Linked DNA regions of Rhinolophus ferrumequinum. The protein of the gene in region 2 purifies or fractionates together with the protein of the main gene of each other region. This does not show direct contact. Links are inferred from orthologs where the notes say so. Each region holds a gene or a part of one and is shown on either strand. Other genes may lie near its edges.

Region 1 (6,624 bases), on a different chromosome or scaffold from region 2:
TTCTGTTTCTACAGATGGGGGCCATGGGGACCCCCGCCCCCGCCGCAATCTTTCCCCTCCCAACACACACAGCATCTAGGAGACTGGACAGGGCTTTCCCGTGTTCTGTTTTCCTTAACTCGTTTCCCTCAGCCCCAGACCCAGGGTAGCGAGTCACAAGGACACACCCCCAGTTTGGGTGTCCCAGCTGGCATCCCCCACCCCCAGCCTCCCTGAGATGCTCTCGGAAGCCCCCTGGCCTCTCACCAGCCTTTCTCAGCTGAGGGTGTATTCAGCAACTCAATCGTAACACCAGACACGTGCCCTTCCTTCTCCAGGCCCCCCCTCCACCTGAGAAAGGCTCTCAGGACATGAGATATGAGGGTGCTTCAGCTACAGGGCCTCCCACCTTCGGGGGTGCCACACCTCCATGTCCTCCCTCAACCCTTCCCTCTACTCACCTTATATACACCCCCTCCGGCAGCACTAGATGGCAGAGCGGGCAGTGTAGGGGACCTGGGGGGTGGTGGGGGAGTGGAGGAGAAACTGTTGATTCATTGTGCTGGAAGGAGTCTTAGGGAACATCCAGTCCAATGGTCTCATTGTACAGATGAAGAAAATGAGTCACGGGAGCCGGCTGCTGGCCAAGGTCAGAGTGAGAGACATGCAGGTCCCCAGGCTCCCAAGCTGACAGATTGTTTCTGATGGACAGAGGAGTGGGAGGGGCTAGAGGATGGGTCTCCTCCCACCTGGCCCTTCCTTGGCACTCCATCCTGTGATGGAGGTGAGGTAATCCCAAGGCCAGCCAGAAGCCAGAGGCCTACGGGGTGGGCAGGCTGGAAATGGGTTTTTGGAATAGATTCCTAGAGGGACAGTGTCTAGACGTTTCCAGAAAGACCTAGTGCCCCCCACCCCCATGCGCTCTAATTACTGCTGCCCACATTTTCAGTTCCCAGCAGGCCCAGCAACCAGCACAATCCGTCAGCTGTCAGGCTTCTCCAGGGAGTTCCTGCAGCTGCCTGAAGACTCTCGAACTTTCTCTGGGGCTGAGCCAGGAAAGGAGGGCCTGGCTCAGCCACAGTTGGCAAAAGCCAACCAAGGGTGTGACTAGTGTGGCCAAGTGCCAGGCTGGGAGGCTGTTCTTGCCAGGCTGGGCTGCAGAGTACCTCAGACTTTGGGGCTAGGGATGAGGGGAGGGGCCCCTGATTAAGGAATCCCAGACCCCGCACTGCCCACTTCCCCTCACCACTCACCCTGCCACCCCCACCCCTGTGGCTTCCGGGAAATCCCTGGGGGTGGAGTCAGTTTCCTCTTCACCCCAGAGAAACTACCCCAGGCAGCTAGAGCAGAAGATTGTCAAAGAACATTTGGGCAGGTGGGCAAGTGTGGGGCTGATATCCAGCCCTTGCTCCTCTTGCCAAGCCCTATGGCTGGTTTCAGGGTGCAACCTCCTAGAGAAAAGGCACCTGGTCTGAAAGGACCCCAGAGAGTCTGGCCCAACCCTCCCTGTCCCGACAGGCAACACCTCACCCTGCACCGAGAAGCCCACAGCCCACAGGCCTCCCTGGACTGCCTGGGAAGTCTCCCCCACCGGACAGAGGATCAGGAGGCCTGAATTCCAATCCTCCCCACCCCCTGACCAGCTTTGCCACCTTGGGCAGTTCTGACCCTCAGTTTTCTCATCTCAGTAATGGGACTCTAATAAGATACCTGGATACGCTAGAAAGTTCATACAACTGCATAATTCTCATTAATCTACGTTTCGATATCCAAAAGTAAAAGCCCTCTTCCATTAATAATGATTAATACTTAATGAGCACCAGGCACTTCATGTGCTTAGCTGTGTTTGGGATTCACCACAACCCTGCAAGATGGGCGCGTTTTTGGCCACGTTTTGCAGCTGGGGACATGTAGGCTCAGAGAGGTCACCAGGCCAGTGAACAGCAGCACCCAGATTCAAGTCCATCCTTGTCTGACCTCAAAACCCAGTTTCTCCCACACCCCACCCCCTCTTACCATGACCCAGAGCCACCCATGTCTCCTTTGTTGTTACTGGCAGGGTGCCCTAGAGTCTCTCGAGAACTGGCCATTTGAAGATGGATGTGAATTCTCTGTTCTGTGTCCCCCACCTGCCGTGGGCAGAGGGATGGAGTTATTGCACAACTTCCCTGGCTGGGGCAGTAGGATGGATCCTACCTGCCTGGTGTCAGGCAAGATGAAGGGAGCTTGTGCCTACAAGCCCTGGCAACCAGCCAGGCAGCCTCCACCCAGAGCGTGGCTGGGCCTGGCAGGGCCACACTTGAAAGCATCCATGACCACACCTGCCAGCTCCTTCTAGGGTGGGGCACCTGCACTCCAGTCTGAGCCAAGGTGGGCAGGCAGGGGCGGTGAGGGCCCTCCCGGCTCCTGAGCTCATCCTGACTTTATAGAGGTGAGGACGGGTGGGGCTGGGAACGCCAGGGACCAAAGACCTGGGGCTTTCTGAAGCTGAGACCCTTGGGGGGCAGCCAGGAGCTCCCAGCTGAGACCTACTGATCCAGCAAGGGAAATGGGGCAGAGGTGTCTGCCCCAGGGGTGTCTGCCTCCCACCCCTGGCCCAAGAGAACCCCAGGTGCTCAGAGGCTTTTCCAGAGGTGACATCAGATTCATGGTCCAGCCCCAACTCTTTCCTCATGGGGTGCAGGTGAGTAAGAAGGAAGGCATCCAGGAGCTCTCTCTTGAAGAGGAAATTGAGGCTCAGAGAGGGCATGAGACTTGTTGTTACCCCCAATTCATTGAGGTGAGCGGCCTGGGGTCTAGCTTCCAGCCCCTCAGATGTCCTGAGCAGGGCAAAGCCCCTGCAGCACTGACAGAGTATAGCCTCAGCCCCAGAAAGGGGCAGCAACATGGTGGGTCTCAGAAAGAGAGAAGGCAGGGAAACACCAAGATAGGAGCCCCTGAGGGTAAGAGCCCCAAGCACTAGAGAGGCAAGAGGCTTACTGTGCTGCTGTCTTACAGGAGATAGTGGCCAGTCACTCTGAACCTGTTTCTTCATCTAAAAAGGAAGGATAATAGGACATGGCAGCAGAAGGAAGGCTGGACCAGGATCATGCCTGTGAAGGAAGGAAAGAGGGGACGTTAGGATTATGGCAGGAGCTTAGGGACACCACCCTCTCCAAGCAATGGAAGATGGAGACCTGGATCCCATAGAGGGTCAGATAGGAGGGGTCAAGGGGCAGGCCCCAGGCTCTAAGCAAGAGTGAGCAAACTGTACCACCTGGAGCCCCCTCTCCCTTTGTGCTGTGGGAATAAAAAACAAAAGGGGTTTTGAGATCATGATCTGCAAAAAGGAAAACTGAGGCCTAGAGAAAGGACGGGCCTTGCCCCAAATCACACAGTAAGTCAGTGACAAACCTCAGAGTAGATTCAAGGTTGCTGCATTTCAGGCTTCCTGTCCTCAAGGAAAAATAGATATAATGCGGAGACTGACAATAACCTTCCTCCTCACCTCTTCTCAGCACTAGGACCCAGGTTCTCATCTGGGCCAGCCCCACTGCTGAGGGCAGGGGGGAAATGGCCAGACCCACACATACCACGTTTCCCGGAAAATAAGACCTAGCCGGACCATCAGCTCTCATGCGTCCTTTGGAGCAAAAATTAATATAAGACCCAGTCTTATTTTAATATAATATAAGACCGGGTCTTAATATAAGACCAGGAATATAATAATATATAACATAACATAATGTAATATTAAAACAATACCGGGTCTTATATTAATTTTTGCTCCAAAAGAAGCATTAGAGCTGATGGTCCAGCTAGGTCTTATTTTCGGGAAAACACGGTACCACCGCCTCTGCAATAGGGATGGGTACACATCCTCCTTCTTCCTCCCTCTCTTCAATTCCAGGTAGATAATAACAATAATTATCATGTACCAGGCCCTGGGCTAAAGTCTATGCTTGCATTAAGTCACGTAATCCTCACACCAGCCCAATGGTGTAAGCATTATTATCATCATCCATTTTCTCCATTTTCTAGATGGGGAAACTGAGGCACACAGAGTCTAACTTGCACAAGTTCTTCCAAGTAGTGGCAGAACCAGGATGTGAACCCAGGCAGTCTGGCTCCAGAGCCTACACACCTAAAACCACACCAGACTGCTTCTTAAAACGTAATTTTACAGGGAGTGCCCTTCTAGTTGCTAGATGAGATGCTGCCCCATTCCTGAAGTGCTTAATTAAAGCCACTTAGATCTTAAAAAAAAAAAAAAAAGACATTATTTTACAGACACCCTGTGGTTCAAATGCTGGCTCTGCCACTTCCTAGTTGTGTGGCCTCTCTCAGCTTTGTCCTCCCCGACACAAGAATGGGACTCTCCTCAGCCCGCGGGCCAGCGCTTTAGCGCCCAGGCCTGTCGGGCAGTGGTCACTGTATCAATATCGGTGCTCCAGTCATTTGTTTGGTTATTTGAACGAGAAGGTTCCAGACGTGGGAAGTCTTCCTTGCCCCGCCCCTGCGCCGGTATGCAGGGGGAGGGGCTGCCCCCAACCCGTCATTGCCATTAATAGAGACCTGAAGCACCGCCTGCTAAAAATACCCGGCTGGAGCCCCATAAAAGCGCTTCTTGCTCCAACGCCCGGCACTTCTCCGAGCCTCAGCCAGACGCGCAGATCCGATCCAGCATGGCAGAGCGTCGCGTGCCCTTCTCGCTCCTGCGGAGCTCAAGCTGGGACCCTTTCCGCGACTGGTTCCCGCCCCACAGCCGCCTTTTCGATCAGTCGTTCGGGATGCCGCGGTTGCCCGACGAGGTGTCGCTCTGGTTGGGCCACAGCGGCTGGCCGGGCTACGTGCGCCCGGTGCTGCCGGCCGCCGCCGAGGGCTCCTCGGCAGTGGCCACGCCCGCCTACAGCCGCGCGCTCAGCCAGCAGCTCAGCAGCGGCGTCTCGGAGATTCGGCACACGGCCGACCGCTGGCGCGTGTCCCTGGACGTCAACCACTTCGCCCCCGAGGAGCTGACTGTCAAGACCAAGGACGGTGTGGTGGAAATCACCGGTGAGCCCCCGGCCCTTCGGGCACGGAGCGGGCGGGGCGGGGCGGGGCGGGGAGCGGAGCCCGAGCAGCGAAAAATTAAGCTTCCTGGCCCTGCCCCAGGCCTGTGTCCCCTTCTCTAGAATTGAGTTAGCGGATAGCTCCCAAGGGACCTTTCGGTCCTAAAAACGCCCCATTAAGGGAAGAAATGCCCCCCTTTCAGTTAAGACCCCCAACCTACAGATGACCAAGTTTCCCTGCGCTCACCCACTCCCGGGCCTGCGGTGGCTGTGAAGAGAATTTTGTCTTCCAGCGCTGTCCCCGCCCCTACACCGGGTCCGTGGAGGGGGCGTGTGCGCACGCCCGGCACTGCATCCACCACCCCCAAGTCCTAAACAGAACTCCAGAAGCTTCTGAGGACAGCCCCCGACCCCAAATCCCTCCACCAGTCGGGATCTGCCTTGAGTCCAGGCCGCCAGGTGGGGCGTGTTGGGCTGCGGGCTGGCCCCTCCCTCACCTCTGACCGCCTTCCCTCCGCAGGCAAGCACGAAGAAAGACAGGATGAGCATGGCTACATTTCACGGTGCTTCACTCGAAAGTACACGTGAGTCCTGCGCCCAGTGGTGGGGAGTGGGAGGGGGCCACAGTGACTTACCTGTGTGTGACTCTGGTCCTCCCTCTCTGCATGTCCAGGCTGCCCCCTGGTGTGGACCCCACCCTGGTCTCCTCCTCCCTGTCCCCTGAGGGCACGCTCACCGTGGAGGCCCCGATGCCCAAGCCAGCCACCCAGTCAGCAGAGATCACCATTCCGGTCACCTTCGAGGCTCGTGCCCAGATCGGGGGTCCAGAAGCTGGAAAGTCGGAGCAGCCTGGAGCCAAGTAAAGGCCTTGGCCCTGCTTCGAACCCCCCATTAGCCATCACTGACCATCCCTACCTGTCAGCCTGAATGCTCTTTTGATACCTTTATGTTGTTTTTCTCAAATAAAGTTCAAAGCAACTGCCTGCCACTGCCTCAGACCCTCGTGTGTGTAGAGGCCTAGGGGTTGGCACCGTCGCCTGGCTGACATTCCTTGCTGTGTGCAAAGCCTCATGCTGGGCCCTGTGGGTACAATGATGCCCATTACAGGGTATAGCCCTGCCCTCTGGCCCCTTGTCCATTAAGATAGAAGTAATGATTGTAACCAGCAATTAAAACTCCAAGGGGCAGGTGTGGGAGCTGGGGAAACCAGGAGAGGTTCCTGGCCCAGGACTGGGTACTCAGGGATTCCTAGGCTGGGGTCAGGTGAAGGGGGACAGAGCAGGGCCAGGGGAGGGGAGCTGCCTGGGAGCTCAGGGTCCCTTACTGACCTCGTCATTACTTTATTGTCCTCCCAGAGAGGGACAGGACCATGTAGATGGTATGGGAGGTATGGCAACTTCAGATGACTAAGCGGGGTGGGCCTCGTCAAAGGACCCATCCCCTGATGCCCATGCAGGATGGGCCTGGGCTCTCAGGCTGAGGATGCCCTGCAGACAGTGAGGGCAGAATGGCCTAGGTTTTGGTGGAAGAGAGGCAAAGACCCTGACGACGACGACGGTTGTCGCTCCAAGAGGGCCTGCCTTAACTGGCCCAGGCCGGAGCAGTCACACCTACC
Region 2 (6,384 bases):
GTGTCCCCAGAGTCATGGGCTTTGGCCCAGAGAGGTGTATGTTCTGTGTCACCCCCGTCTCTCCTGTTTCCAAGGCTGACTCAAGCCTGGCTCTCCTAGGCTCCTTTGGTAAATTGGTATAGAAGGAAGCATCTGGTGTGGAGCAGGTGTAGCTTGTGCCAAATTAGGTGCCCCCCACAAGCTCTTCCACAAGGGCTGGAGGAACCTCCGTTCCAGGTGCCCCTCCCCTGCTGGCCAGTGTCCCTCCTTTAAATGAAACCCTGAAGGCTGGTGTGTTTGTTCCGAACAGTCTGCGTTCCCCAGCTCACCCCGATGGTGATGTGTGTTCAAGGCCCTGTCCTCACCCCTCCCCAGACCAATGCAGGCTGGACAGGGCAGGCTGCTGGGGCCCTGGAGGGCCAGGAGACTGCACCCACAACCCCCAGGCAGGTCTTAGGGACTCACTTCCTCACCACTTCCAGGGGTGCTGGTCCCCGTCGGGACCTCACCTGTGGCCTTTGGGACCTGACCAGACCTTCCCTCCCCTGTGCTGTCTGCTGACCCAGATGTTGGAGGGGGACCATTTGTGCAGGGGCTGACCACGGCTCCACCTGGGGCAGGGATGGTTTCCATATGTGCTTCTTTCTCTTTCTCTAGCAGTTAGTTTTCCAAAGGTGTGGGGACACATGTTCAATTTCTCCAGGGTGGGCATTCACTATTTTGATCCCATCAGGCTGCTTCTTACTTGGTAGCCCAGCCTGGTAACCACCCAAGGACCCTGGGTCCCCTTGCCCTACTCCCTCCACCTCCCCTCCCCCAAGCTCAGTAGCAGGGGTGCAGAATGGAGAACTGGCAGATGCCAGAGTGCTGGGAGTAGGGCGAGGGCAGACGCAGAGGCAGCCAATTAACTTGGCATCAATTTTTATTAAAGCACTGGGTGGGAACTTCGGTGGGGACCTCAGCGTGGCCCTTCTGGCCCCGTCCCGCCCCCGCGCAGGCGCAGGTTCATCAACACGGTGCAATGGGGCCTGAGGTCATACTCCCCCAGCTGGTGCTGGTCCTCCATGGGCTTCCCCTGGAAACTCAGCCAGAACTGGTCGGCAGGCGTGCCCTCCTGCTGGTGCACCTGCTGCTTGAGCTCAGCCACCGTCTGCGTCCGCTGGACCTCGTAGGCTCTGCTGCGACCCCTCTCGTTCTTCACCAGAATGCTCAGGGGGTCGTCGCTCAGCACCACCAGCAGGACCGTGCTGCCGGGGCTCAGACCCTGCCCGATGAGGGTAGCCCTGTCCTGCAGCTCCGCACCGGACGACTGGGAGATCAGGCGTTGCTGGAAGGCAGGCACGCCAGTTTCCTGGGCGATCCGCTGCTTCAGGTCCGCTGTAAGCATGGAGTCCCTCAGGGGCACCAATAAATCCTTGCCACTCAGCATCTTCACCTTCAGTTCCCCTATCTGTGCAACACACGGAGCTCAGAGACCCTGGCACCAGTCCTCGGGCCTCTACACGCTATGTACTGGCCGCAGGGCAAGCCCCTAGGCTCCAGGACGCTGTTCCCTCTTCTGGGTCCTCTCCACCAAGAGAGGGACCCCAGGCGCTGGAGACGCACAAGGGGGTCCTCTCTGGAAGAACGGCCAGCCGCCCACGACCACCACTTTGCCTCCCTTCAGCTAAGATGCCCCCCAAGGGACCTCAGAGTTGGCCACTGGGCAGAACCCACCTTCCAAGACCAAGACCCTGACGTCGGGAGCCCTGTCCCTGCACCACACTTGGGAAACTGCGGAGCTCTGCAGCTCCACTGGTCTGGCACACAGTAGGTGCTCTGTCCCTCCCCCAGGTCCTGCCAAGGGGAGGGGGAGACAAGTCGACGAGTGCCCAGCCCACCTGCCCCACCTGTCAACCCGCCTCACCATGGCTGTGGGCTCTGGCACCAGGTCCTCCACAGGTAGTGATGAGCTTGCTGCCTCTCCGCTCGCAACTCCTCCCGGCCCTAACCGCCCAGCCTTTTTCTGAACATGAGCTACACACGTCAGAGGGCGGGGCGCCGTGTCTGAGAGCCAGTCTCACTGGCCCTTGAAGTCCTCTTCGGTTTCAGTTTCCGTTTCCCAAGGCTAGCCCCACAGCAGAAACAAATCTGAAAAACTGTAAGAGACGCGGAGGAGGTGAGCCCAGGGATACTAAATAGAAACCGCCCCCGTTCCCCCCCGCAGGCGTGTATGTTCAGAAACTCCCTACATATCCAAGTCCTTTATGTGATTCACAAAAGTCATAGAAACGTGAAGTAATGATTAGAGCGTTTCACTCTCCATTTACCAACTTGCAAAATTAGTAAACTTAGAAAGCACGATCATGGGTATTCGGGAAATAACATAAAATAGTGACACTCGAAACTACCCCGAGATAATTACCACTGGTTTTGGACAATATTTGTTCAGCTTGGGTGTTTTTTCTGTTTTTTTTTTTTTTTTTTTTTTAATGAAAGGGATGTATCTTTTCTACAAAAAAACTCATGGACATTATGGAGAAAGTGAAAAGACTATCCCAAAAATCGGAAAAAATATTTGCAAATCATATATCAGATAAGGGTCTAGTAACTCATAGTATATAAAGAATTCTTACAACTCAACAACAAAAATATAACTCAAAAATTGGGCAAAGGAATTGAATACACATACCTCCATAGGAAATATACAAATGGCCAACAAACATGAAGAGATGCTCAACATCATTAGTCATTAGGAAAATGAAAATCAAAACCGGAATGAGACACCACCTCACACCCACTAGCAAGACTGTAGTAAAAAAAAAAAAGAACAACAATAACAAGTGTTGATGAGAATGTAGAGAAATTGGAGTCCTCACATGCTGCTGGTGGGAGTGTAAAATGGTATGATGGCTGTGGAAAACAGTCTAGTCGTCCCTCAAAAAGATAAAACAGAATTTCATAGGATCCAGCAATTCCACTCCAAGATATACACCCCAAATAATTGAAAGCAGGTGTTCAAACAAGTATTTGTGCACAGATGTTCATAGCAGCACTGGTCACAATACACAAATGTTAAAAGCTGTACAAACAGCCAAATCCATCCACAGATGGATGCATCAACAAAATGCAGCCTAACCTTACAATGGAATACTATGCAGCCATAAAAAGGAACCAAGCCCTGACACCCCCTACGACATGTTTGGACCTGGAAAACATTATGCTCAGTGAAAGGAGCCAGACACAAAAGGCCACATGCTGTATGATTCTATTTATGTGAAATGTCCAGAACAGGCGAATCCACAGAGACCAAAAATTGTGGTTGCCAAGGGGAGGGTTGGGGTGGAAAGTGACTGTTTTATGAATATAAGGCCTCCTTTGTGGCTGTCAAAAATGTTTTGGAACTAGATAGGGGTGATGGCTGCCCAGCATCGTAAATATACTAAATGCCACTCAATTATGTAATTTAAGATGGTTACCTGTATGTTACATGAATTTCACCTCAATAAAAAACAAAACTGAAAAACCCTTATACTCCTGCTTTATTCATAACAGTGTATCATAAACATCTTTCCATATTAATAGATACTTTGTGCTAGTTGTTTTAATGGTTCCATAAAATGCAACCATTTAATGGTTCCCCTTAGTATAATGAGTCCATTACAGTACTGTGTAGAATGTAATTTAGTTAACCATCCCACATTGTTGAATATTTAGGTTGTTACCCAATTTTTACTATTACAAATAGCACATAACAGGCATAAGTTAGATATAAATAAAGAAAGTCTAATATAAAAAAGTAAAAGTGGAAAAAAACAAAATGTTTTGAATATGAATCTTTTTTTTTAACAGTTCAGGCATTTAATTAGGTTCTTCGTAATTAATGTAGACAACAGTTTGTGAGGATAAACCCCATTTGTGAGAGCAAACACAGAATGGAAGTAGCCCTGGAGCTGAGGAACAGCTTTGACTTTTGGCCGAGTTTGCGAGTCCACGGCTTTCTGATCAATTTTGCGCTGCTCTGTAATCTCATATTTCTCTTACTCTGTGTTGGAGATCCTGGTGTCTGGGCTTATGCAGCTTCTTCTTGAAGTAAGCATCAGTGAGATGTTTGGGGATTTTCACACCACTGATATCAATTTTGGTGGAGGTGGCAATGACAGATTTCTGGTGTGTTCTACGCAGAGGAACTCGATCGAGGGACAGAGGTCCAGTCACACGTAGCCACTGCTCAGGTGCTTCAGGAAAACCACCCTCTTGCCTCTATGGTGCCCAGTGAGGATGACCAGAATGGTCCCAGGAGCAATGCTAGCCCCAGGTTTTCTCACCTACTGACTGAAGGGCTTCTTGCCATGGCTCAGCGGCTTTCGAGGCATGTCTTCAGTAGGACAGTATCTAGGCATTTTGCGAAGTTTAACCACTCAGGTGTCACCATTCTTGTCGCCAACAACTGGTTTTGTGACAGTAGCAAGAACCTTCCCCTTTTTCTTTTCAATCCTCATTTTAGCTGATGAATACTTCCTCTTGTCCATGGACTTTCGGGAATACATAGCTGAGCGGGAATAGCTGCCGATTCCTCTGACCAGGACAGGGTTTCGGCTGCAGTGGGGCTTCCCCTCCTTAGGCGTTTTGGCCTTGAGGTTAGCCTTCTTAACCCTGCCACCAGCATCAGCCTGCTTGGCTTCAGGTTTCTTCTCCTTAGTGTCCGGCTTCTCAGCTTTTTCACCCGCCATCTTGCAAGTTGGGAAAAAAAAAACGCTGAATATGAATCTTGACCATTCCATGTCCCCCCCAAAAAAAACTCACAGGGCACCAAAATTGTTAACACACAAGAAAAAACCAAACTGATTTTTAACTTCTTTTTATTATTTTAAGTTTATATCTTGACTCATTCCTTGCATAAATAATGTTGGTATTATAAAAAGAAAACCACCAGCATTTTTTGAAACAATAAAAAAGAACATGCAGAATGTTAAAATCCCTCCAACCCCCCTCAGATGACCATTATTAAACATGGTTTCTATGTCTCCTGACTTCTTCCCCCCCCCTTTTTCTGCCTTCCCCCGCGCACTCGGATTCAAGCTGCTGTTTCTCAGTCTAGTTGTGTAGGACACATCTCCTTGGCCCCTGCTGGTATTATGAGCCTTGCGCTCCCCCCAGCTCAGGCAGTCGGTTGTCAGTCATCAATCCGCCGCTCACAGCAGCTCACAACAGCTCTCGCCAGCTGCCAGCCAGCCACTCACGCTGGCCACTCACAGTGGCCACCGGCCGCTCCTGGCAGCACACGGCAGCCCACCGGCGACCTTGCTGTTAGGAGCACGGAGCTCCAACCATGTGAGCCACCGGGCCAGCCCTCTCCTGACTTCTTTTTTTTTTTTTTTCCTGACTTCTTAATACTGACATTTAGTACTAGAATCTTCCCTTTCTGTTAGTTACTTCATCCCATGTCACCAATTGTCCTTCTGCTTTTGACAGGAGGAACTAAATACAAAGGCATTAAGGAGGCAAACTGACAGAACCTAGGGCTCACCTGTCAGTTTTCTGGGGCTGTCATAACAAATTACCACAAACTGGTGGCTTAACACAACAGAAATTTATTCCCTCACAGGTCTGCAGGCCAGAGGTCCGAAATCCAGGGGGACTAAATGACCAGGATTGTCAGGCTGGTGAAAAATAATCTTACTTTATGTGGCTTACAGAAGACAAGAATCATTTGAAATATAAGAATGCAGGAAATTTGAAAGAGGATGGAAAGAAACATACTATACAAATGTTAACCAAAAGGAAGCAGATGTGGCCACTTAACAATTTTATTAATATATTAATAAAGAAATCTTATAGGCAAAGTTTACTGGAGACACAGAAGGTCGCATAACAATAGGTTTTCACCTTCTCAGTAGAAGGTTGTGTACACCTAATAACATAGCCACAAAATATTTAAATTCTAGTCATAAACCTTACTATCCTATTTGTGAAATTACAACAGCCACTTATAAAGGGGCCTTTGGTTAATATTGGGGCATAGTTACAAACTAACTTAAACTTCCTGAAACCTTTAAAACAGCATCTATGACTTTTTTTTTATTGGCTTATTAATTCATTCATCTGGTATTTTTTTTAAAAGATTTTATTGGGGAAGGGGAACAGGACTTTATTGGGGAACAGTGTGTACTTCCAGGACTTTCTTCCAAGTCAAGTTGTTGTCCTTTCAATCTTAGTTGTGGAGGGTGCCGTTCAGCTTCAAGTTGTTGTCCTTTCAGTCTTAGTTGTGGAGGGCGCAGCTCAGCTCCAGGTCCAGTTGCTGTTGCTAGTTGCAGGGGGCACAGCCCACCATCCCTTGCAGGAGTCGAGGAATTGAACTGGCATCCTTGAGGTTGAGAACCCACTGGCCCATGTGGGAATTGAACCGGCAGCCTTCGGAGTTAG
Region 3 (8,076 bases), on a different chromosome or scaffold from region 2:
AAGATTGATTCGTTTTGTTTTTTAATTAATTAATCGGTGGAATTAGAAACTCACTTTTAGCTTAGACATCGGCTCAGATATAATCTACTAAGCAGTAACAATGTCAAATTATGATATAGAATAACTTCTCTAAAACTTTCCACACCAGAGATTGATGAGCAATCATTCATTCATTCACCATTTCAGAGTCTACTTACAAAGTGTTCTAGGCATTTCAGCAATGCCCAAGTCACCCAAGAGTCCGTGCCTTCATGGAGCTTTAGTAGGAGCAGAGACAAAAAGTAAATAACACAACTTGTAGTCGTGGTTAAGTGGTAGACAGAATAAAGGGGAATATAGGGATAAAGAGAAACCATGGGGTAGATGAGAGGGAAACTGTGTTTTAGGATCCTTAAGGTAAAGTTTTCAGGGGATATGACATGTGAGCCAAGAACTGAGTAATATCACAAAGCAATGCAATAAACAGGGTGAAAGCTCGGTGACCGGAACAAGCAAGGTTCCAGTGTTTAGCGTACAGCAAAGCAATAGGGTGGCTGCTGCAGCGGAGCAACCCAAGGAGAGAAATGCAGGGGATAACCTGAGGTAGGGAGATCCCAGATGCAAGAAGGACTTGTAGCTAGGGAGGGGAAAAAAGTCAAGATTTTATTCGAAGTGTGATGGAGAACCTTTGTAGAGTTCTAAGCAAAGGAAAGACATGCCCTATTTTTTAAAAAAGTAACACCAGCTGCAGCTTAAAAGGAAACTAATACAGTAGCTCAGGCAACAAAGGAGGGAACAAAACAATGATTTAAGAGAGATGGTGAAATGTATCTGCTTTAGGATACATTTTGAAAGTAGAGTCTAGAAAATTTGCTACTGGATTGAAATGGGAATCCAACTGGATGAAGAGTAGTTCAAAAAATCATCTTTTATTTGTATAATTGTTACAGGTCTCAAGGTATTTTTACACATAGATTATTTCATTTCATAATAACAAGAGGCTGGGGAATGTCACAGTGAGCCAAGGTCCAAGTTCTTCCTCTTGCCAGTTTTAAGACCCTAGGAAAGTCATTTCAATGGGTTTCTAGACTATAAAACATATTGTCTACTTCTCAGGATTCCTGCAGGTATCAAATGGTTGAAGAATTTTGCAAATGTGAATAATGACTATTCTGAGATAGCACCTTATTAATAAATATCCAGTGAAAGACAGTACATTCCTGTCATTCAGGACAGTAGAGCAACCACCACCACGATATTCCACACAGAACTTCGTGCTGAGATTGTCAGAGAAGAGGCAAACTTTTAGTTCCAATTATGATATTAAAAAAATAGATATTTTCACTGATTATGGAAAAAACCTACATAATACAAGCATGGGCACTAGAAAAAACACTTTTATCTTTTAATTCTTCCTAGGAATTGGAGAAAACAATTCTTTTAAGCTATAATAGTATTAACCACCTACCTGTTTACAAGGTAAAATCCAAAATCACAGCAACTTTCATTAGAAAGACGCTATCAACAGGATACTGTAAAATTAAAACTGAGTTATCACTTTCTTGGTTTAAATAGTAAAATGTAAATACCTAGTGTAAATTACTGTGTGCGAATTAACTGAATTATGAGGACTTCAACTAACTGCCTTAAATCATTTTTGTAAGTTTATGAACAAGGTTCCACGGAACTAATTTTCATCCAAGGCTTTCATGTTACTGCAGAATATCTGCAGAATCAAGCAAAAATGGAAAAATATTTGTTAAGTCTTTAGTTCAGTATGTATTTTGGAGATTATCTTGAATGTCAATTTGTATTATGTACTTAGTCTATAACCTAAATAACAGTAAATAATAATTCAAGGATATTTATTGTACAGCTCTTCCACCCCTCATTTTCAACGAGAGCCTCAATAAACCTGACCATTGGAGCCATGTGACTGCATTATAACTAAAACCACACTGTAAGGACCTTCCAATGCATACAGCAATTAAACTGCCTTGGACAGAGTCCGAGACAAATCCATAAAACAGTACAACAAATTTTGCACTATGAAGGTTCACATTATTACACTCCAGCACACAATGACAATTCGTCCTACTCTGACTTCTAAGAATTTCTACCTTATAAAACGTCCTATTGTTCTCTAAATCAAGCATCTTTAGATCAGAGACACCCCCCATCTCATATATTTAATTGCGATTGCACAAAGCACTACATTTCATCATCTTTCAACAGGTCTTTCACTTAGCACGCATCTCGCCCAAACTTTTAAAACAAACTACATTAAATACATGTTCACCAGGTTATATCAAGCAAAATGATGCTGCAAGTTAGTCACCTGAACTCGCATATTGAGCAACAGAGATGCATCTCACTTCCTTCATTTAAACTGACCAAAAATGTCAAGGTTTTGTTTTGTAAATTGCAAGACACATTTCACATCTGAGGACTTGATATTATATAAAGACTTTACAAAACAAAGATGCCAAATTTTTCATGATTCCATACATGCTTGTCAAAGTATAGCATTAATAGAGTCAAAGAACGGTCTAATAATTAAAGGGCACAAAATCGAAAAGCAAAAGATTTCACAAGGACCCCTATACTTGCGCCCCCCACCCCAAGTCTTGTGTTAAACTATTTCCTCTGAACAGAAACAGCTCTTCAGTTTGCAAACCAGAGTAAAATCACTTCGCAGAGATAACGAGTGGAAACATATTTAAAGGAGAGGAAATCGCCGAAGCTGGAACAATCGGGTGCGGAGCCCCCAGGTCCCCGGACCCCGACTGCCAGGAGCGAGCATGTGCCGCCGGCGGCAGCACGCGCGGCCCTCCCGGGGCACAGGGCCTGGCCCGGCCTCACCCTCCCGGTTCATTCATTCTGAACCTGGGGCTGCCGCACCCCTGCGCTTCCTCACGGGCCGAGTGGGGGATCCGACACCAAGAGGCCGTGTCTGGCCACAACCTCCGCCTAAAGTCCGGGCCCCGCCGCGATTCCCGCGCGCCCGCGGCCTCTGTTCGGGGGTGGTCCGAGAGACCGCGGAGGCCCGCACCCCAGACCAGAACCCCGCAACCCCACCCTCCACCAGGGCGCAGGCCAGGTTGAACCCATTCGTAGGGGGCCGCCTGGAAGCCCCGGGTCCCCGCCGCAGGGCTGTCTCACCGCGGCCGGAAGTCTCCCCGGCGCCCCCTCCCCAGCGCCCGACTTCCCTCGCCGCCGCGGTCAGACCCTCTCCGTGCAGCCTCGGGCCTCCCAACGCGGGCCGCGGGCCGGAGGAAGCGAGCGGCCACGCCGCCCGATCCGCCAAGAAGGAAAGACCAGAGCAGGGAGCAGAGGCGGGCGTGGGAGGTTACCTTGATGATCCTACGGGGCAGCCCGGCCATCTTGTCAGATCCCGAGTTCGGCCTCTGGTCTCGACTCCGGCTCCGCTTGCCTCACGCACGAGTGGAAGTCCCGGGCTCCACTTCCGGGGGACGTTGCCGCGCCCGCCGCCGCCGCCGCCGCCACCAGCGTGGCCCCTTGGGAAATGTAGTCCCTGCTCGGCCGCGGGCCGGCTTCCCTCGGACCTGGCCCCCCCACACACACCCCGCCCCAGCCCCGGCCTGGAGGTGGCGGAAGTGACGCGCAGCGGCGGGGCAGGGACTTGGGGGAGGTGGCGTGGGGCGGCGCCGATCTCCGGCGCTGGTGAGTGATCCTGCCGCGCGACGGTGGGACTGGGCTGCCCACACCCGGCGGGCCTGATGTCCACGGCCACGCCCGCGCCGGTGGAGACGTAACAGAGGCCCGGCTGCCGATGTAGCTCATTCATTCATTCGTTCATTTCTTCATTCTACGTTCCTGCCTTGTGCGCTGGCGCAGCGGTGGACGACTGCGATCTAGTTGATCCGCTTGCTCCTGCTCAAAGGGAGGGGAAGACCAAACCTCGGTGGCAAAGCTCCCAACTGTGATAACTTGGGTCTCGCAAGTTATCCAGGGAAACTCTAGCCAGAGAGTTTTGATGTTTAAATGTCGCCTAAATCGGGCCTATTTGACACACTCCTTACACTCGGAGAAGGCTAAAAGAAGAGTTTGCAGATAGCTGAGGGAGAAACCAGGGAAGAATGGTTTCTGAACGCCTGGACCTGGTGGTTGTGACGCAGAGTAACTAGCTAGCTCGAGGAAAGTCCAAAGAGAGGATTAGAGAGCCCAGCGTAATCCCTGACAAGGATTACCCACAAAGTGCAGGGATCCTAAATGAAGATTAGAGTGGCGGTGCCTGAAAATGAGATTGTTGGGGAAGCGTTTTGCGACAGCCTGATGACTGCTTTGCTATGCGATGGTTTTTTGCAGATACTATTTTACTTCATCTTCACGGCAATCTTGAGAGGGAGACCCAGAGACGTTAACTAACTTTTTACAAGGTTATGCAGGAGAAAGTGGAGCTGTTAACTCCCAGGCAGGCCTGCCAAAACATGGACCCCTTAACTGCTTAACTACGGTGTTTCCTTAGCACCCGAATACAGACATAGTGAATGAATGAAGATGTGCCAGGTGCTATGTTAGGGGATGAGAATACAATGAAACTGACCCTGCCTTGCAGGAATTTAAGAGTCCGGTGGAGAAGAAAGACATGTAAACAATTAATTACAATCCAGTGTGTTAAGGGCTATACCAGAGATTCTTCCAAGGTGCTGTTTGAGCGCAGAGAGGCATTAATTGTTTGAGAAATCAGAGAAGGCTTCACAGAGGAGAAGGGGAATCCTAAAGAATGAGGTCAGAATCTAACTGACGTGGTCGGGTAGAGCATGCCAGGCATGGGAAATAGCTTGTGAAATGGCATTGAGCTATAAGGAAAAAACAGTGCATTAAATAAAGAACATGGATGCAAGAAACTTGTAAGAATAATAAGAGAAAACATTATGTGCGGGGCACAACGCTAAATGGTGACATGGATTATCTCAATCATAAAGCGTGTAAGGTAGGCTTTCCTATTACTAGCGCTCTTTAGATGAGAAATGAAGCTTCAGAGGGAATAATGAGAACTTAAAATAACCAGAAGTCTGAAGCGAGCGGTTCTGTGATTAAAAGAATCTGAGAAAATAAATAACGCTGGACAAGGAAACTTTCAGAATATTCTAGAGAGGGCCCAGGAGAATTCACCCTGGTAGGAAGACTGGCAGAGTGAATATTGGGTTAGAAGTGTGCTCTTGCAGTTATCTATTTTTGCCTAACAAACCAACTCAAACTTAGTGCTAAAAATGACAACCATCATTTATTTAGCTCTTGAATATGCAATTTGGCCAGGGAAGGCTCATCTCTGCTCCATGCTACATCAGTGTGGGCAGTCTTACTGCGGCCAGATCCACTTCCAAGGAGGCTCATAGCTGCCAAGTTGGTGCTGGCTGTTAGTTCCTCTCCAAGTGGGTCTCTCCTTGGGGCAGATGGGGCTTCCTCACTGCGTGGTGGCTGAGTTCCGAGAGTGAGTGTTCTAGCTAGCAACAGCAGAAGCAGAAGCTAAATCATCTTTTTTGGCCTAGCCTTGGAAGTCTCATAGCATCACTCCCACCATAATCTGTTGGTCAACTAAGTCACAAAAGTCCACCCAGTTTCAAAGGTACAGGACATGGACTCCACCTCTTGGGGAGTGGCAAGAGTCTAGAAACTGTCAGTGTGTGTGCGTGTGTGATGGGAGATATGGTTGTGGCCAACTTTGGAAAACAAACTGTTGTTACAGGTACGACATTTGTCAGTGTATGCTTACAAACCACCTGCTTGAGAGTCACCTGCCTATGATTCTGAGTGCTGGTTGAAATAAGCATTGCCAGCTCCCTCCCTCCAGAAATTCTAATTCTCTAGGTCAATGCTGAGGCTTGGGTATCTGCATTTAAACATTGTGAGTAATTTTGGTGGGTCCTAAAATTTGAGAACAAAAGATTTTGAATAAAGAAGAACAAAATGTATAAACAAAAAATGTTGCCATCTGCCTTCTTCTTGCTATTCTCTATCAGAATGGATAGTGAGTATCATACAGATTAAGAGTGTGGGGTGGCCAGTTGGCTCAGTTGGTTAGAGCCCCAGTGCTCATAACACCAATGTCGCTGGTTCGATTCCCACATGGGCCAGTGAGCTGCACCCTCCACAACTAGATTGAAAACAACTTGACTTGGAGCTGATGGGTCCTGGAAAAACACACTGTTCTCCAATATTCCCCAATAAAAAATAAAAAAAAAAAAAAAAGACTGTGGGGTTTGGAGCCCCAGGCCAGATCTGAAATTTGCCCATCCTTTGTTTTCTTCACCTATAAAATATACTTACTTTATTGTGATTGTTGTGAAGTTTCAATTATACATGTAGCTTAGAAGATGACGTAGCACTTAGCAAAGGCTATTATTTTTGTAATCTTGACAGAACCAGATATAGTTTTCCTTAGAAAACCAGATTTTTAAAACTTGACAGTATTCCCATTCATTTTTCCTCCTTAGGAGCAGCTCACACTATACTCATCAGGAAAACAAAATCTGAACTTCTGATTCATGAAAGTCTTGTAGAACAGGATATATTCTAGAAGGACAAGTTGCCACAGGGCTGAGATGACGTTTATTCGCAATTTAGAAAAGCTGGTTAAGAATCCTCATTACGATACCCATGAAATACAGACCAAATAAGGATATCCACAAAACTAATTGAATCGATTTCTTCAGGGGAGGGTTGCTGGGCGGGAGAACAGGTAAAAGGAAGATTTTTCACTCTATAGTCTTGTACCTTCTGGATTTTGAACCTATTCAAAATGTAAAATAAGAATCCAACTTACTAATGTCAACATTCTAAGAGGTATTCAGAGTTCTTTCAACACATCAAGAATGATATTATACACTCAAAACTCAGCCAAAAGATGCTGGTTCATGGTGTTGAATAAATTATAGTGACCATATAGATTCACTAAGCTGAACAGTGTGAGGCAGAACTCAGCTAATCAGTCTTCTTCAGCTCTTCATCAGGCCTCGCTCTCAGCCATGTTTCTTTCAGTCTCTCCTCCTGGACTCATAGTACAAGGTGGCTTTTAATTATGATATAGGGAAAGAGAAAGCAAGAAAGCTGCATTGGAGGCATTACAGGAGTCCTGTTCTATGCGACTCTCTTATTGCTCAGAACATTATTTTACTGCCTCCTGTTACTTCTCCACCTCTTACCCCCTAATATTCCGGGTTTGCTACTTTGGCCCTATAATAACAGATGCAAAAGTGCTATTTACCCTGCAGATAATATCTTAGGACATTAATACTTGAGCTCCTCAGAGTCATGGATCTCTTCCATCTCAGTTGTCACTGTATCCCTGGAGCTTGAGTGCAGGGCCTGCTCCCAAAAAATAGCTGTCAAGGGAATGAATCAACGACTGCAGGCTGAAAATAAACGCCTGTTTGAGAATGGCTGACATTGACTCATGATCCTTACGTAAATGATTACAGAAAGCACAGGATCTTTATATTCATCCCTAAACTTTTCAACTTGAATTCCTGGAGGATAACAGAGCTGTTTTTCACAGACTGTCTCACGCTTGGCAGAGACAACACAGAGTTGATCAATTTGGAAAATGGTAGATCAGTCACCTTTAATAGAAGCCCTGTTCAATTCATGAGCAATAGCGATCAGGCAGAAGTATTTGTTTGCAAGTACTCTTGTTTCTTGCAGCATAGGAAAACTGTTTCGTGGGCGATCAAGACAAGTATCTGTGAGAAAAGGGTTCATGAACACTGACTCAGGGAGGAAATAGGTGGAGGAGGAAGAAAACATTGCACATTGATTTTTTAAAAAAGCAAGGAACGCCTGCTGCCTCATATTTGTGACTTCAATGTAAACATCTGAGTACTTACAGTCTGTTACAGATCGCCAGCCTGTACACAGGATCAGAGCTGGGTCATCCAGGGTCATACCGGTAGGAGCTCTGTCTCGAGGTGGAAGGCTTGGAGAAAGATGAGATCCGGAAGAGTCAGAGTAATCAGGCTTACCTTGGTTTAGTGCTTTATGCTTTGCAAAGCACTTTTGAATCTTAGCTTACCCACGGAGCCTATAAGTGCCACTGGAGGCATTCTGCAGAGGCCATCATTGATTCCAAAATGT
Region 4 (7,714 bases), on a different chromosome or scaffold from region 2:
GTCCACTCATAGCAGAATCATGATATTATCATGATATCATCAGCATAACTATGATAATAACAGCAGTGTCAGCTCTGTCAGCAGATACTTACATGCTAAATGTGAGACAGACACATAGTTTTTCATTTATCAGAAACTCCCAGGAGGTATATTGCTAATGTCGGCTCCGGGTAAGGAAAGAGTCAGGGCAGCCCCAGGTCCCTGCTCCTTCTCAGGACTATTGCCTTTCTTAGCCCTTCCTTAGTATCCAGTCTCTGTCACTCTGTGACCTTAGTCATGTCACTACTTCTCTCAGCCTCTGTTTCCTTACCTGTTAAATGGGGATAATAACCACACCTCCTGACATGCCACTATAGCAGTGGACCCCACGATGCCAAGAAACTACAGAATGCTCGTTCACCTGGGACCCCAACAGAGCTGCGGGTCTGAAGAGTGGAGGTGGGTTTCACACATGAGGGATTTCCAAGGTCAGGACCCTGGTGAAAGCGTATGGGTCTCCAACTTATTAACTGGTTTATTTCAAGATCAAGCATATCTTCAATACCTGCACTGTCCAATTTCAGAGCCACCAGTCGCCAAAGGCAACTACTGAGCACCGGCAATGTGCCGAGTCTGAATTGTGATATGTTGTAAGAATGAAATACACATCAGACTTCAAAGTTGGCATATATATAAATGGATATATTGGGTAAGGTGACCAACTTATTTTGATTTGCCAGAGACATTCCTGGTTTTAGCACTAAAACAAAAGGCCTGTATCCCAGGAAACTCCTTAGTCCTGGACAAGCTGGGACAGTTAGTCAGTCACTTTACTTTTGGCTAAACTATATTATTATAATTAATTTTGCCTGTTTCTTTTTGTTTTTTAAATAATACTTAATAACTATTAAGTGTTGCTGGAAAGTTTAAAATTACAATGTGGCTCTCATTGTATTTCTATTGCACAGGGCCGGCTCTCTAGGTCTTAAACCCAGACCATAGCCTGCAAAGTGACACAGGCGAGTCTCTCTCCCCAGCAACTGATCGCAGGCAACAGTAACTAAACTTCAGCACAAAACAAGCACTGTGACTGCACAAGCTGGGAGTGTGAGGGGACTGAAGGATGGACATGCTTTTCCCAAGGTGGAGGAGAGAGATGAGAGCAGAGGGAAGTGTCTGAGCGAAGGCATGGAGGTGGGATCCGGGGAACTGTTATAGACACACACTTGCTTGAGTACAAGAACCCTTGCTGATCCTACTCAGATGGGCTGATTTGGCAATTTGTGCATCTTTGACAAGTAGGCTCACATGGCTTCAACCTGCCTACCAATGTTTAGCTTCAAATTCAGTTACTCTGTCCCTTGTGGATGTCTGCGCAGCGACTGTTGTCAGGTCCATGCTGATATGGAGGGGTTACGGCTCTACTTTTGTTTTTTTTTTTGTCAGTTTATTCTGACTGGGGTCTCTCAGGGCTATGGCAGGGTGGTGTCAATATCTGTGGGTAACAGACATGGAGGGGAGACATGGCTTCTTACAGAGAAGGATTGGAGTCTGGGAAAACGCAGTTAATTCCAGCTTTTTCAGGGGCTGGTTGTGAAGTCGGTTAATTTTGCCCGATTTCCAGCTAGATTTATTGAACATTTGTTGTGTGCCTGGCACACAGCTAGGAGTATTGCTTGCATTATCTAATAACCCTAGGAGTTGGCTTATCTCCATTATCACTATTGCCTAGATGAGAAAACTGAGGCTTGCAAAGGTAATTTGTGCAAGGGCACAAAGCCAGAACAGCCAGAATTCACACCCAAAATGCTCCTTGCAGAAATGCCTATCTTGAGTTTTAAGCCCTCATTTTTTATCAAATATTGATAAAGAGCCATCTGAACACCATTTCTTCTTCCTCTCCTTACCTCTGAAGCCACTGAGTACCCTCCTCCACCACGGTTTTTGAGTCTCCTTCTCCTCCCATAGATTGCTCTCCAGAGAACTCTTAGGTTTCTTCCTATTGAAGAAGCCTAAGAATTCTCTGGAGAGAATCACAGGACTCATCCTAAGACAGGGATTTCTCAGCTCAGAGTGAAGTGGATTGGATATTATATGCAGAACTTATTTAGTTATTTGTGTCAAAACCTGGTGAAAGCAGACATATTTTACAAGAAAGGGGAACCTTTGCACACTAACAGCTGCTGATTGAGCTGAGTTGATTACATTAGCTCCAGTCTCACCTAATAAGGAGGAGGTCCCTTTGGGAGGTATACACTTGGCCCATAAGTTTTGATGGATGAGTTTGGGTAGAGGGAAGCCTGAGATACAAGGAACCTTGGGTATAGGGGAAGCAAAAGTTACCAACAATGCCTCTAGTGAGACAAAGGTAATACCCAGGCTGGGAACAGCATGAGGGCCCTTAGACATTATGCAGACTTTGGAGTTACATCCAGGTTCAAATTGAGCTTTGTCTAGTCCTTACTAGTTGACCTCCAGCAAATCTCTTCCCTTAATCACTAAAGAGGGGAATGAGCCTTCAAATAGTTACTGTGTCCCTACCTTGGGCCAGGCAGGGCTAGGGCCAGGTAATACACTCTCTCCCCCAGGCTGTTCTGAGCGGTTTCCAGAGTGAGGTAATCGCTGTGAACAAAGCACTTCAGCATTGTGTACAAATGTCCTGTTACAGAATGTTACAATCATAAATCGCTGGCTTCTCCTGGGCAACTAACTGCTGGGCTGGAAGCCCTTAACCTCCATCTTGCACAGCCCCTCTTCCTCCAGGAAGCCTGCCTGCCTGATTCCCCTCACCAACCTTGGGTTAGGTGTCCCTTCTTGAGCCCAGGCATCCTGTGCTTCTCCTACAGGCCTGGAATCCAGTCCTGTTAGTGCTGTGTACCCTGAGCAAGTCATTTAACCTCAGTTAAACTCTTGTCATTTGGGGCCAACAGCAAAGAAACTGCTTAGCCCAGCTCTTGGCACAGGGGCAGAGCAGGTTCTCAGGAAATGCTAGCTGCTACCCTTCTAATTACTAAGCTGTTGACAGCAGAGGTCTGGCCTGGGTCTCCACTGTATCCCAGCACCTAGCACAGAACTTGGATGAGTACAGAGTAGGTGCTCATTACATGGTATCGGTAGGCGGAATAATGGTCCCCAAAGATGTTCACATCCTAATTTCCAGAACCGGAAATATTAATTTACATGGCAAAGGAGAATTAAGGTTGTAGATGGGATTAAGATTGCGACTCACTGATTTAAAAATATTCTGGATTAACTAACTGGGCCCAATGTAATCACAAGGATTCTTAAAAGAATTAGAGGAAGATGTGACCATGGAGAACCAGAAGATGACAGTGTGAGAAAGACTCAGCCCAATGTGACTGGCTTTGAAGAATAGAGGAAGAAGCCACAGCCAAGGAATGTGGGAAGCTTCTAGAAGCTGGGAAAGGCAAGGAAATGGATTCTTCCCTAGAGCCTCCAGAAAGGAATGCATCCTGCCAAACCTTGATTTTAGCTTAGTGAGACCTGAGAGGGACATCTAAGCTACAGAACTGCACGATAATACATTTGTGTGTGTGTGTGGTTTTTTTTTAAGACAAAGTTTTGGTAAGTGTTACAGCATCATTAGGAAACTAATATACATGCAAATTACTGTTCATTTCTATAACTACAACTAAGCTGTTTGTGACAGTTGATTTTTACTTTTCTCTCCCATTAGTATATGAACTTCTCAAGGTTAAGGAATAAGTTTGTCTTATTTACCATTGGTTCACAAGCTCAAGGAGGGCCTGGCACACAGCAGACACTAAATAAATGCGATGACTGATAATATATATAATCATTCATATGAGTTAAATTACTATGAATAGTAAACTGTCTGTTTCCTTCACGGTGTCCTCCAGTGCCTAATACAGTGCCTGGCACACAGCAGGAGCTCAGAAAAACCAAAAACCAAAAAATCCTATAGGTGGACGAAGTACCCTCTCTGCAGGCCCCTTTCCCACGACCCACGCTGCCGTCCATGCCCATTCTCTCCAGTTCCCTACTTTTGCACGTCCCTTCACTTCAGGCCCCGGTGACCTTTTCCTTAAGCAGCCGGATGTCTCCCCCCTAGTTTGCTTTACCCGAGGCGGTGAGCAGAGAGCGCTGATTCCCAGGACGCCTTGAAGGCAGTAGGAAGCAGTGGCCTCTTTGGGCTGCAGGGGGCGACCGTGGCCCGGGAACTCCCGCCGGAGGGTTGGGACGGGGCGGGGCTTCGGGGGCGGGTCGGCTCAGTGCGCAGGCGCGGGGCCAGACGCCTCGCGCGGTCAGGGACAGGCGGCCACAGAACAACCGCGGTCGCGGCTCCTGTAGCAGCGAGTTCGAGTCCCACTGCCCCTCCGCTTTGGTTCTCACTCCCTCGGTCCTAGGGCCTCCCCACGCCAGTCTCCGGCCGCTCGCTGCGCATTGCGCACCCCCCGCCGCCAGGATGCCGGTAACCGAGAAGGACCTGGCGGAGGACGCGCCGTGGAAGAAGATACAGCAGAACACGTTCACGCGTTGGTGCAACGAGCACCTCAAGTGCGTGAACAAACGCATCGGGAACCTGCAGACCGACCTGAGCGATGGGTTGCGGCTCATCGCTCTGCTCGAGGTGCTCAGCCAGAAGCGCATGTACCGCAAGTACCACCAGCGGCCCACCTTCCGCCAGATGCAGCTCGAGAACGTGTCGGTGGCGCTCGAGTTCCTGGACCGTGAGAGCATCAAGCTTGTGTCCATCGGTGAGTGCCCTGGCCCAGCCAGGCGCGGGCGGGTGTACCGTCCCGGGGCCGTGCCTGCGCCCCTGGGGAAGGCGGGGGCTGCCTGCCGCGCGCCCCCATCTCGTCCAGTCGGGGGCTGGGTGGGAGCGCTGAGGCCTGGGGACGTGGTCCCCGGGGGTGAGGTGGGGACATAGGAGAACTAGATCCCCTCCCAGGTGCCAACCCCTGGGCTGCGACCTCGAGTGATAGCTCCGGACCGTGTGCCCAGCAGCGCGTCTCTGGAGCTATGTGGGTGGAAGGCTGGAGTTGGGACCGCACGGGGAGAAGTGGGTCTGTGGCATTTCTTTGCACCTGGGGTGCCCCTGCGGGAGCTGGGGAATTGGGAATCTCCGGTCCGCTGTCCTCGCGGTGGGACCCTAGTCCAGGGCTCCGGGAGCGCTCGACTCGCGGCGCCCAGGCTGGTGCGCTCGGCGGCCGCCTAATGGGCGTTGGCTCAGGCCGGAGGAGGGGACTCGGGGCGGGGGGACGGTTCTCTGAGCCTGGGGCCTCCCCGCCCAGGTGGATACCAGGACCTGGTACCCTCCCCCGCCGTCTCCGGAATGGGTGTGGGCCTGGAGGTGGGAAGGGGAGCCGCGGGGGTGTGTCCTCGCTCCCGGGGCTCCCAGCTCTGTTCTGGCCCGGCGCCGCAGGATGAGCCCGCTCGCACCGCTGAAGTTAGAATTTAGAGGTGATGGTGGTAATGGAACTGCTGCCTTGTAGGAGCCCAAACTAGTGGGCACTGTGTGCCAACAACCTTCTAGGTATCTCAATCTGTACACATCCCCCGAGTTGGGATTTTGTTACACCCATTTTACAGACAAGTGTTCCAGAAGTTTAAATGACCGGCCCAAGGTCATGGAAGTAGAGAGGGTCCAGCTGAGAATTGAAGGAAATGGGTGACAATTAAAGGAGACTTTGCCTTCCTCTCTCCGCCCTCCCCACACCAGGGTCTTCCTGAGAGGAGGGAGGGAGTTGGTGTTGGGTTCCTCTCCCTCTGCGCTGGGGAGGAAGAATGAGGGTGAGGTCCTCACTATGCCCCAGGCTAGTGGAGGGCTTCCACGAGGGTCACAGACAAGGCTGCTGAAGGTGTGCGCTGTCACACACAGCTTGTATGTGTGCAGAGAGAGTCTGTGCACACAGCGTGGGTGTGCCTACATTGTGTGTGGGTTCTGCCAGGTGAACCTCTTGCCAGAGAGGAGCTGGCTCAGGCCTGGGTCTGGGGTCTCTTCCGGAGGAAACCAGACCTTATAGTGACCCCAGGGCAGGAAGAAAGGGCGGTGGGTGTGGCTGCTGGGACTTTTCTCCAGCAGCAAAGGGGTTCCCTCTAGGCTGAGTCTCCTCTGGCCTCTCCCTCGCCTTCCCCCACACCTGTCCTAGCAAGTAGGGCTGCTTCCTGGGCCCAAGCAGCTGCCTCCGCCCAGCCAGCCTCCCCATGCAGGGTGGCTTCTCTGCAAAGGGAAGCTGTGCAGCATGCTGTCGTCTTCTTTTGGGAGCCCTTCTCCTATAACTCGGGAAGGAGAACCTCAGAATTCTGGAATTCTTTCCTTTTCAGAAACCAGCTTCCTTTTGAGGAATCTCAAGGCCTTGCTGGGCTCAACTTGGATCCCTTCTTCTTTGTTTTAAAACTGTGTATTTATTTAATTAGGTGAACAAAGAAACTTAAAGTAAACCAGGAGTATCCAAACATGACATGAAATATCTTTAAAAAACAAAACAAAACAAACAAAAAAAACCCCAAACCACAGCACCAGAAAATCGTGGACTGCCTAATTTACCAGCTGTTTACAGAGGCTGCAGCTGCTTCCAGCTTCCCATCAGTGCCCTAAACTTGGGGGTCTCATTCCAGACTTTGGCCCCTTACAGTTTTGTAACCCTCATGATTTTCATTCCTGAACCCACCCAGGCTAGAGTATCCTCTATTATCCTGGCATTCCAAGGTTTACCTCCCCCTTCCCTGTGGGCTCTTGGCAGCTTCTTGCTGTGGACCTCTTCCCACCACAAGTTACATTGTTTTATTTTATTTTCTCCTTTTAAATTATTTCTTGGATTGTATTCCCCGAAGTGGCATTCCTGGGTCAAAGGGCGTGACCACAATTATGATTCCTGTCATTGGCTGCCTAGTTGCTCTCCAGAAAGGTCTCCAGTGAACCGGTTTTCCAGCCCTTGGAGACCTGAGGGAGATGTGCCAAGTGCCAGGATTCCTGTGGGGGCGATGCCTGAGGCCTCTTCCCTCTGCTTCTGGGGCTGTTCTGGGTAATGGCTCTTCAGAAAAAAGTCACATCCCGCTGGGACTTCAGTTCAGGTAGTCACTGTTTATGCTGTGCTGTGTTGTGCTGTTGGTGACACTAACTCCAATGTGGAGGCATGTTAAATGTGTTCTATTGGTCACCCCATTGGTCACCACCTTGAATCCTGGAGTGGTTTCCTTGTCTATGTAACAATCTGCTTTAACAAATCCCCGGGAGGCTGAAGCGCTTGCCCCAGTCCTGGCCAAGTGCTTAGAAAATCGTGGTTGCTGTTATCACTGCGATTGCTGTTAGTATTATCTGTATTTAAAGACAGGGAAACAGGAGTGAAGTAGCTTTTGGAAGTCACCCAGCTAGTAAATGGTGACTAGAACCCGGGTCTGCCCAGCCGTTGAAATTGAGCCTTCAGTCATCTGCCTGCCAGTGTCAGAAATGAGTAAAATACAGTCCCTCGCCCCTGAACACAGAGCCCTTGTCACCCTGTTTTTAAGTGGGATGTTGGGATAATGGCTGGACACCCACACTTTGAGCCTCTGACCTTGAACAAAGCAGGGATCTTAAGGAGGTAGGTGACAGGAATAAGCCCCTCAACTGTGATGAGGGTCCCCTGAGATCAGAGTCATGTTGGGAGGAGAGCAGAATCTCAGGCATCTCCCACCTGGTGTTGAGGTGAATCTGTTGAGCGAATGGCTGCCCTGTCTTCACTGTTTTTTGTGGGGGGAGCTTTTCTGC

What was found.
Region 1: the proteins of ISG15 (region 2) and HSPB1 purify together in Homo sapiens (affinity purification with mass spectrometry; 3 studies listed by BioGRID, with this or other methods). This does not show direct contact. The link is inferred for Rhinolophus ferrumequinum from reciprocal best matches to the Homo sapiens genes ISG15 and HSPB1.
Region 3: the proteins of ISG15 (region 2) and UBE2N purify together in Homo sapiens (affinity purification with western blotting; 3 studies listed by BioGRID, with this or other methods). This does not show direct contact. The link is inferred for Rhinolophus ferrumequinum from reciprocal best matches to the Homo sapiens genes ISG15 and UBE2N.
Region 4: the proteins of ISG15 (region 2) and FLNB purify together in Homo sapiens (affinity purification with mass spectrometry; 3 studies listed by BioGRID and IntAct, with this or other methods). This does not show direct contact. The link is inferred for Rhinolophus ferrumequinum from reciprocal best matches to the Homo sapiens genes ISG15 and FLNB.

What each region holds. Positions count from the first base shown.
Region 1 is NC_046290.1:92,474,201-92,480,824, reverse strand, and holds HSPB1 (heat shock protein beta-1), read left to right. Parts: upstream 1-4,554; 5' UTR 4,555-4,643; coding exon 4,644-5,013; intron 5,014-5,529; coding exon 5,530-5,593; intron 5,594-5,682; coding exon 5,683-5,872; 3' UTR 5,873-5,994; downstream 5,995-6,624. UniProt on the Homo sapiens protein: Small heat shock protein which functions as a molecular chaperone probably maintaining denatured proteins in a folding-competent state. Plays a role in stress resistance and actin organization.
Region 2 is NC_046292.1:228,268-234,651, reverse strand, and holds ISG15 (ubiquitin-like protein ISG15), read right to left. Parts: upstream 2,025-6,384; 5' UTR 1,889-2,024; coding exon 1,886-1,888; intron 1,430-1,885; coding exon 938-1,429; 3' UTR 864-937; downstream 1-863.
Region 3 is NC_046293.1:84,615,263-84,623,338, forward strand, and holds the start of UBE2N (ubiquitin-conjugating enzyme E2 N), read right to left. Parts: upstream 3,367-8,076; 5' UTR 3,363-3,366; coding exon 3,333-3,362; intron 1-3,332. Other genes in the region: COPII coat assembly protein SEC16-like, read right to left, coding at 3,367-3,783. UniProt on the Homo sapiens protein: The UBE2V1-UBE2N and UBE2V2-UBE2N heterodimers catalyze the synthesis of non-canonical 'Lys-63'-linked polyubiquitin chains. This type of polyubiquitination does not lead to protein degradation by the proteasome.
Region 4 is NC_046300.1:52,667,434-52,675,147, forward strand, and holds the start of FLNB (filamin-B), read left to right. Parts: upstream 1-4,288; 5' UTR 4,289-4,426; coding exon 4,427-4,718; intron 4,719-7,714. UniProt on the Homo sapiens protein: Connects cell membrane constituents to the actin cytoskeleton. May promote orthogonal branching of actin filaments and links actin filaments to membrane glycoproteins. Anchors various transmembrane proteins to the actin cytoskeleton.